Linked DNA regions of Tribolium castaneum. The protein of the gene in region 1 purifies or fractionates together with the protein of each later gene. This does not show direct contact. Links are inferred from orthologs where the notes say so. Each region holds a gene or a part of one and is shown in the gene's direction. Other genes may lie near its edges.

Evidence for each region.
Region 2: the proteins of Mbs (region 1) and serine/threonine-protein phosphatase PP1-beta catalytic subunit purify together in Drosophila melanogaster (affinity purification with mass spectrometry; 3 studies listed by BioGRID, with this or other methods). This does not show direct contact. The link is inferred for Tribolium castaneum from reciprocal best matches to the Drosophila melanogaster genes Mbs and flw.

Annotation. Positions count from the first base shown.
Region 1 is NC_087394.1:37,244,522-37,248,345, forward strand, and holds part of Mbs (protein phosphatase 1 regulatory subunit 12B), read left to right. Parts: intron 1-18; coding exon 19-153; intron 154-860; coding exon 861-956; intron 957-1,044; coding exon 1,045-1,155; intron 1,156-1,273; coding exon 1,274-1,451; intron 1,452-1,567; coding exon 1,568-1,720; intron 1,721-3,014; coding exon 3,015-3,189; intron 3,190-3,235; coding exon 3,236-3,357; intron 3,358-3,516; coding exon 3,517-3,588; intron 3,589-3,824.
Region 2 is NC_087402.1:10,006,811-10,011,177, forward strand, and holds the start of serine/threonine-protein phosphatase PP1-beta catalytic subunit, read left to right. Parts: upstream 1-1,466; 5' UTR 1,467-1,597; intron 1,598-1,611; exon of another isoform or gene 1,612-1,704; 5' UTR 1,705-1,769; coding exon 1,770-1,821; intron 1,822-2,100; coding exon 2,101-2,184; intron 2,185-2,431; coding exon 2,432-2,563; intron 2,564-2,612; coding exon 2,613-2,843; intron 2,844-2,895; coding exon 2,896-3,072; intron 3,073-4,367. Other genes in the region: Fkbp59 (FK506-binding protein 59), read left to right, coding at 1-226, 733-1,085, 1,168-1,320. UniProt on the Drosophila melanogaster protein: Required for cell adhesion in non-muscle tissues and in maintenance of muscle attachment. Vital for larval development.

The DNA of each region.
Region 1 (3,824 bases):
CTTGCTTGTATTGTTTAGGTTCTACTCGAAATACGAGGAACTGCATGCACGCATTAAGAAATATAGAAATAGCAATGACATTATTCCTTATTCGACTAGACCTCATTCCGACATTATCCCAAATTCCTATTCAACTTCTCAGCAGCATTACAGGTATGCACGTGTTGTTGTCGTCTTCAATTTTTTTTATTATAAAGCGATGGTTTTTTAACCAAAGGGCAAATATTAACAATTAATCCAACAATTAATGCTTGATGACCATCGCTTTATAATAATTCGTTGTTGAGATGTATTTAGTGCTTTTTTACGATTGTGTAGGAGATTAAATGTCTGCACAAGTGTTTCGTCACGATTTATTAGCATTTGCATGAAAAACTTCTCTTGATAAATATTGAAATAAATTTTCTGATAATCTAAAATATTACAACTGATTATGAAAGTTTATCACTTGTAACAAATCAAACAACTTCACTTTTTTGTGACAAGTCATTAGTTTTACAACTTGGGAATTATTAATTAATTAAAAGTCGTTTCAAATTGTTACGAGCAGTCAGAATTACAACCAAAAAAAAGTTATCTGTTCTAAGGCGAAAGTCACCAGATGCCAGTAATTGTTATTTTTATATTTTTCAAAAACTGTCTGATGGTGAGGCTGGTCAAGTCATTAAAAAAAAATACTATTTCAATAGTTTTTCATTAATATTGGCAATATTTTTTGTCGCTAAAGTTTCAGACCAATACCAAATCAGGTGGTAACGTAACAATTTGGAACGAGTTTTATTTACATTTTTTATTCATACGAAATAGAATAAATAATAAATGCATTTTTATTGAACAAATTCCTTGTTTATTCCTTCTAGAAGTTTGAAAGAAGACAGCAACGAAAATAACAGTACATCATCAACGAAAACATCACCGGTTATGAGTCCAGTATCTAATAATCAACCACTTCGAAGGTAAGCGTTTAGAAAAAACTAAGAAATATCGGATTTAGGCTTAATGTGTTGTCAGTTCGTAAATTTATTTTGTCAATTCTTTCATTAGCGGTTTAAAATTGCCAATTGGCACAAATCAACCTGTCACAACCACTAGCACTCCAACAACTCCTACAACACCTGGTGGCAATAGACTTCAAATGTTTAAAAACTTCTTCAAGTATGATACTGTTTTAACCGAGTTTGTGTGACGTTGCTTACTAAATGTTTGACTTGAGTTTCGCCAATTTTTACTTTTTCTTAAAGTTGAGCTTTGTTTGATTAATTTTTTTCCAAAGGTCGTTTGTGCCACCCGTTCGTGACGAAGAAAGTGAAACGCAACGCAAAGCTCATGCGAAACGTGTTCGTGAGACGAGGCGTTCGACTCAAGGTGTAACATTGGAGGAGATAAAATCGGCTGAACAATTCGTTAAAAAGAAGAATCAACCGAATTGCAATAACAACAATAACGAGCAAGTAAGTCGTGACTTCATTTTTCAGTTTTATGGCTTATTCATCCGGGAGTGGTGAATAATTCTTGTAATAATTTTTTTCCATTCATTTAATAAATCATATGTAATGTGTACTAACAGTCTGGAGCTAACGGGGATTCCCCTAACGGAGTGAGTGTGACCGCTACAATAACCACTGCGGCACCTACTGTTATAACACGTGATACTGAAGAACCCAGTATTACTCATGAGCGTAGGCCGTCGTGGAGGCTGAAAATTGACAGTAGTAGTAAGGTGAGTTTTTAGGTGTTGTGAAAGTCACTGTGGAGCCGCAAATGGATGATTTTTTTATCACTTCTTCTTCGCTTTTTTCTTCTTTTTTTTTAATGATTGAAACATGCAAAATTACCAAAGGAGGAGGTTCTTGATAATACGTGTACCGCTTTTGGTTAAACTTTCAAAAGTTACATTTGAAATGTGAATGAAAAATTGATTAGAACATAGTATTAAATTTTGCTAAAATTAATTTTTGTCATATTAGCACGTTTTTCATAAAAAAAACGCAATTATTCGAAAATTATCCAAAAAATAATAATTCGAATTTAGGCGAAAATCGAGTTATTTTTGCTTTTTTTTAAACTTATTTTGAACTCAAAACTCAGTTTAAAAATTCACTAGGCTAAATCAAAAATGACATTATTTTGGCGACATATCTGGAAAAATTGTTGCCCAAAAATGTGAAATTTCGATTAAAGTAAACCACAAAATCGCCGAAATGGGTGCACAATTTTTCAATTAGACAATTCTATCGTTCTATAATAGTAAGTGCCATTCTAAACAATGAACCAAAGAAATTATATTTCTCACAGCGACTTAATATTAATTAATTCATTTCCAATATAAAGACTTGAAAAAAATTGATGAATTCTGTATGAATTGAGATACATGTTTCTAGGTCGTATTATCTGAATTTTTAAATTCTTCTTTATTTAATTAAGCAAAATTTAGTGCTAAAACTTAGTCTTTGTATTTGGACTTTTTTGGCCTGTCTATTAATTAGACCTTTGATTAAAATTTAAACTTGTGAAATAAGAATTTAAAAGTGGAATCTTCTTTTTTTGTTTTTTTTTTTGGATTACGAACTTATTGGCAGGTAATTATGTGTGTTGGTTTTGATTGCTTATTAACATCGGTTTACTTCGTTAATTTAGTGAATATCAATCCTTACTGTAGTCATTTTTTTTCAGATTTGCGTTTTGGTTTTTCTTCTAAGCTTATACTTAATCTGTAACCCTATCCAACATATTTTGTACTTAACGTCACTTTTCTTGTATTATTACGTTAAGCATGCATGTTAGTGTGTAATGCTATTGTTTGTATTTAGTTGTAGCACAGCAAAAAATACTGATTTATCTGGAGTGTCATAATAATAACTAAACCGATCTCGTTACTAGTACCAAATGAAATTCTAATAAATGTTTATTGAATAATAACCGTTGTGTTTAATAATTTTTTGGGGTCTATATAGTTTAACAACACGGGGTTTGGGCATAAATGTGTGCACGCTAATACTTTTTGTTGGATGTAGTTTAAACTGGAAGATGCAACGAAATCCTCTGAACCACCAAGCACTCCGTCCTTTGTCCGTCGCACCGTCACACAAAATACCACCACGAATCCTAGACCGTCATCGGCACCGGTCGAAACGGCCGAAACTACGGTCACGTTACCATTGAGAAGACCAAAAACTCAAGATGAAAAAGGTACGATAAAAAAAAATTGGACGAATTTTAACCGATTTTTACACAGAACAAGACAAAGAAAATGACGTACGCAACGCTCAAGCCACTCTCGCCACACAGGCGGCCATCCAACGAAGAAGGAGGCCCAAGAGGAGGTCCACAGGGGTCGTCTCGTTTGAAAATATGGATGTGAGTGTGTGTAAAAAATCGCGATTTATATATCTAGGGAGCAAAGTGTATAATTTCCTCCCGTGGGCAAAGTTTGCAGCCCAACACGAAGCAGAGGGTTGTAATTACTCTCGTGACATATATATGATTTTTTTTTAATAACGACTTTTATCCATTTAGGATATGGATCAAGATAAGGATCCGTCAGGAGGTGGTGATTATGAAGATAGTACGAAATTAAATCACGAAGAGGTAAGCGATGTTTTTGCGTTCGATTAATTTGTTTATTTCGTTCATTTATTTTCGTTGGCAACGGTTCGAATCTAATTCGAATTTTTTTCTCAATACAAACGCACCTGAACGTTATTTTCTTAGTATTAGAAAAACCTTAATTATTTCGTAAGTGGGAGGTGATGAAAGGAGCAAGGTTGTGGAAGTTTCACTAAACATTATCTATATTTTTAAAAAAGTTTGTCATCGCTTAATTA
Region 2 (4,367 bases), on another chromosome or scaffold:
GAGGGTTGTTCAGAATTTAACATTCCACCGAACGGAACGGTTGAATACACCGTCACGTTGAAGAACTTTGAAAGAGTTAAAGAAAGTTGGGCTCTGGACACCAAAGAACGTGTGGAACAATCAAAAATTTTCAAGGAGAAAGGAACGAATTATTTTAAAGCTAACAAATTTCAACTAGCCATAAAAATGTACAAAAAAATTATTGAGTATTTGGAATCTCAGAAAGGTGTGTACTACGGATGTCTAAAGGTTAGGGTACGAAACGACGTACAAATAAAACGATCTCGCTTTTGATCTCTCACCAGAGAGAGTCAAGTTGTCGAAGCAATAAATTTGAAAAATGCTTGTATTTGTATAACTGTTAACACATAACAAACAAAAAATACAGGCAGATAGAGCACTAAATTTTCAATAATGTGACAAAAACATGATGCAAAAATTTTACCGTAAACTATATTTAAAAAAAATCAAACTTTTATCAAATCGCACTCTGCTCTATATTTTTCAAAACGCTATGAACACAATAATAGATGCCAGAAATTTGTTAGGAAAAAATTTGTAGAGAATTAAATTTGTCTACAAAAAAGTCCGCTAGACGAATTGGTTGGATTTTAAATTAACTTTGCCGTACCATTTTTTGGGGTTCAGAAAATCTTGCGATTCTGTATCTCGTTTCGTCTCCTGAGTTATAGTCCACTCTAATCATAAATTTAATTTTGTGATTGCTTTCAGATCCGGAACTGGATAAAGAAATAGAGTCGTTAAATTTAGCTGCGCATCTGAATTTGTCGTTATGTTACTTGAAAATTGACGACAATTTCGAGGCTAAAGCCTCGGCTACCGCCGCTTTGAAAATGGATCCAGACAATGTTAAAGCTTTGTTTAGAAGAGGTCAGGCTTTACTAAAACTAGGAGAGCCCAAGCTTGCTTCCGAAGATTTCCAGCAGTGTTTGAAGCTAGATCCAGGGAATACAGCTGCACAGAGTCAGAAAGCCCTTTGTGTGAAAACACTCAAAGAACAGTTAGAGAAGGAGAAGAAGGTTTTTGCTAATATGTTTGACAGATTTGCGAAAGTGGATGCTCAGGTGAAAAACAATTAATTTTGAATTATTGTCCCGCTGGTAATTTGAATAAATGTTTTTAATAAAATGTGGTTTTATTGTGTAGAGGGAAGAAAAAGAGAAAAAGAAAGAGCCGAATGTGATGTCGTCAGTGGGTGAATGGGGTAAGGAAGATCGTGAGCGAGAGCCGAGTGAGTTTGAGAAGGAAAATCCGAATATTTTGTTGCTTAGTGGCAGTGGAGAATTTAAGGACATGTAGTTTTGTTGCCCAATTGAATAAAACCGTTTCAATTGTTGTTTTTGTTTGAAATTGTTTTTGACACTCATAACAATGTTTCAAAAAATCAATTTAGTGGGTGTTTTTTTGTTTGACAAGTCTAAAATCCCGGCTTACGCTTCTTGTCCGTCCACGTAAAAATAGATTTGCGCAGTGTGCAAATAAGGTATTGAAGTTGAAATTTTGCGAGTTGTGGAATTAACGATTTGAATTTTGGCGAAAATTTGGTTTTGACACGTTCTTTGACGTCTGAAGGGTTGTAAGTGACAAAATTCCTCGTAGAAGTCGTTTGGGTTATTTAAATTCGTGTTAATGCGTTTTGTTGGATAAATTTGTTTGAACTAAGCGCCATGCGTGCGTTTTTAGGAACGAAGTGCATCGTTGGGTTGGTAAGATTGTCGCTAATTTTCATTTATTAGTGGAAAATAAAAATGGCGGAGCCTGATCTAAACGTCGACAATTTAATTCAAAGATTATTAGAAGGTAAGAAAGCGATTTAATTATGATTTTCCGCTTAAATGTGTTAGATTAGGAAGTTGGGGATTACTAGAGTACAAGTGCATGGTCGAATGTTGTTGTGACTTTTGACCAGTCAAAATAGACTCTTACTCGGCCAAAATAATTACTTTAAAAGTGCACAAATACTATTGAGGGAGTTATTTAAGACACTGAGTGCTTTTTAACACTTTTTAGTTGAGTTTTGTATAAATAAATAGTTTGAGTGTTTATTTTTGTGCTGCTTTTCGTGTGATGTGGGTACAGGGTATAAAACTCTACGAGAATTACAAGAAAACCAGGATGTTAAGAAGAAATCTAAATTCAAAGATATGTTCATATCTTCCGAACGTAAGGTCACATCTATAATAGCAGTCTAGCTTAGATATTTGTTACTCTCATTACAGTACAGTAAGGTCGTCCGATTTAGTAGATTTTGATGCACACATCTATCAGTTCAGTTTTGCTTGCTCTACACTTTTTTTTACAAATTTACTCATCTAGAGGTATCATGCGGCCTTAACAGAACCACTTGATTTGATTTGCATTGTTTTTGACCAAAAGACACAGAAGGGTATTTTAAAAACTTTGTTCTCAGTACGAGGATGTCGTCCCGGAAAGTCTGTACAAATGTCCGAGGCGGAAGTCCGCGGACTTTGCTTAAAATCCCGAGAAATTTTCCTCCAACAGCCCATACTTTTGGAACTGGAAGCTCCCTTAAAAATCTGCGGTAGGTCCTCCAAACACCCCAAACTTTCAATTTCAAGTTAAGCTTCCAGGGGACATTCATGGCCAATACACAGATCTGCTCCGTCTTTTTGAATATGGGGGCTTTCCTCCTGAAGCCAATTACCTGTTCCTTGGCGACTACGTTGATCGTGGTAAACAATCGCTAGAGACCATCTGCCTGCTTCTGGCCTATAAAATTAAATATCCTGAAAACTTCTTCCTCCTCAGAGGAAACCACGAATGCGCGTCGATTAACCGAATATACGGATTTTACGACGAATGTAAACATTAAACTCGCAAATTTGTGTGTGTTTTTTATAGAAAAAATTACAGGCAAGAGACGGTACAACATCAAGTTGTGGAAAACCTTCACCGATTGCTTCAACTGCTTGCCAATAGCTGCGATAATCGACGAGAAAATTTTCTGCTGTCACGGGGGGCTCAGTCCTGACCTGCAAGGCATGGAGCAGATCCGTCGTATTATGCGCCCGACCGATGTACCTGACACAGGTCAGTACCTTTTTTTATTTATAAAATTGACTTTTTTACTGTTGGGCTTCATTTCTGAAGCGAGTAACTTAAGTTGGCAACACTAAATTATTGGTGTTATTTATAGAAATTTGGGAAAATAAGAGGTTTATGCAAAAACGAGTGACATGTTTTGGTCAAAACCTCATCTCGCTATTGTCTTTTCTTTTAAACTCGGAAACAAAAGTTCTCATTTTAGCGAAACCTCAAAAAATTCATATCTTATTTTATTATAAAAGATATTCTTTTTGAAACAAAAACATTATACAGGCATTTATTTATAGAGAATTTCGAAATGTGGTTAACGCATTTTAGAAAAATTTTAGAAAAAATTTGATATGATTTATTTTGATAAAAAAAATTATTAAAATCGTTTCAAAATATCATTTTTTATAATGAACAAAACAAATCTTTGCTTCTTTTAGCTTTTGCCGGCTTTGCGTTCTGTAAAAAGACTAGTTTGGAACCGAAGTTCGTTCAAAGAAAATAATAATGCTAAAGAATTTTATGCGTGCGTGAAAAATTGGAAGCAATGACGGAATATTAAGCCTATAACTGAAATACAATCCAAAAATTATTTTTCTAAATCTGACAACAAAATATTAATTGTTAAAATTTAATTCAAACTTTCAAGTGTACACTTTTTGATAATATTGTTAAGTGTCTTTTATTTATTTTTGTGAAAATTTTCGTGTTGTAATAAAATTGCTTCTTAGCATTTTTTGTCCCGTCCGTGTATTTCATTATTTTTATTTTTATCTACACTTCCGCTTAATTACCTGTTTTCATGAAAGACTTGTGTTTAAATGAATCCAACACCTATAACATATGTTTTTGTTCTTGCGAAAGTACTCACATATTTTTACTAGCCACATTCGTCTAGAATGTCCGTCCGTAATAAATTAATTATTGCGATTTTGGGAAAATTGACGGCATGTATTTAAATTGTTAATCATGCAACACATTGGTGCTTGGGTGAATGTTTAAATTAATCATCACTTTAATTATCTTTTCTATCTTTTTTAATCATGGAATTAGTGATTCATAACAATCAAAAACAACAGATTGAACTAAAGTTTTCATATTTTTAATTATGGACAATTTTCGTCACAAAATAAGTTTCCTCAAATGAAATGTGTCGATAAATTCCAACTTAAAAGGGTATCACAAAAAAATAGAGATCTTAGTAATAAATCATTTGATTTTTATGTATTTAAAAATATCAAAACTCGACAGTTAAAATTTAAATTCGTTTTATTATAATGTTAAAAAAACGA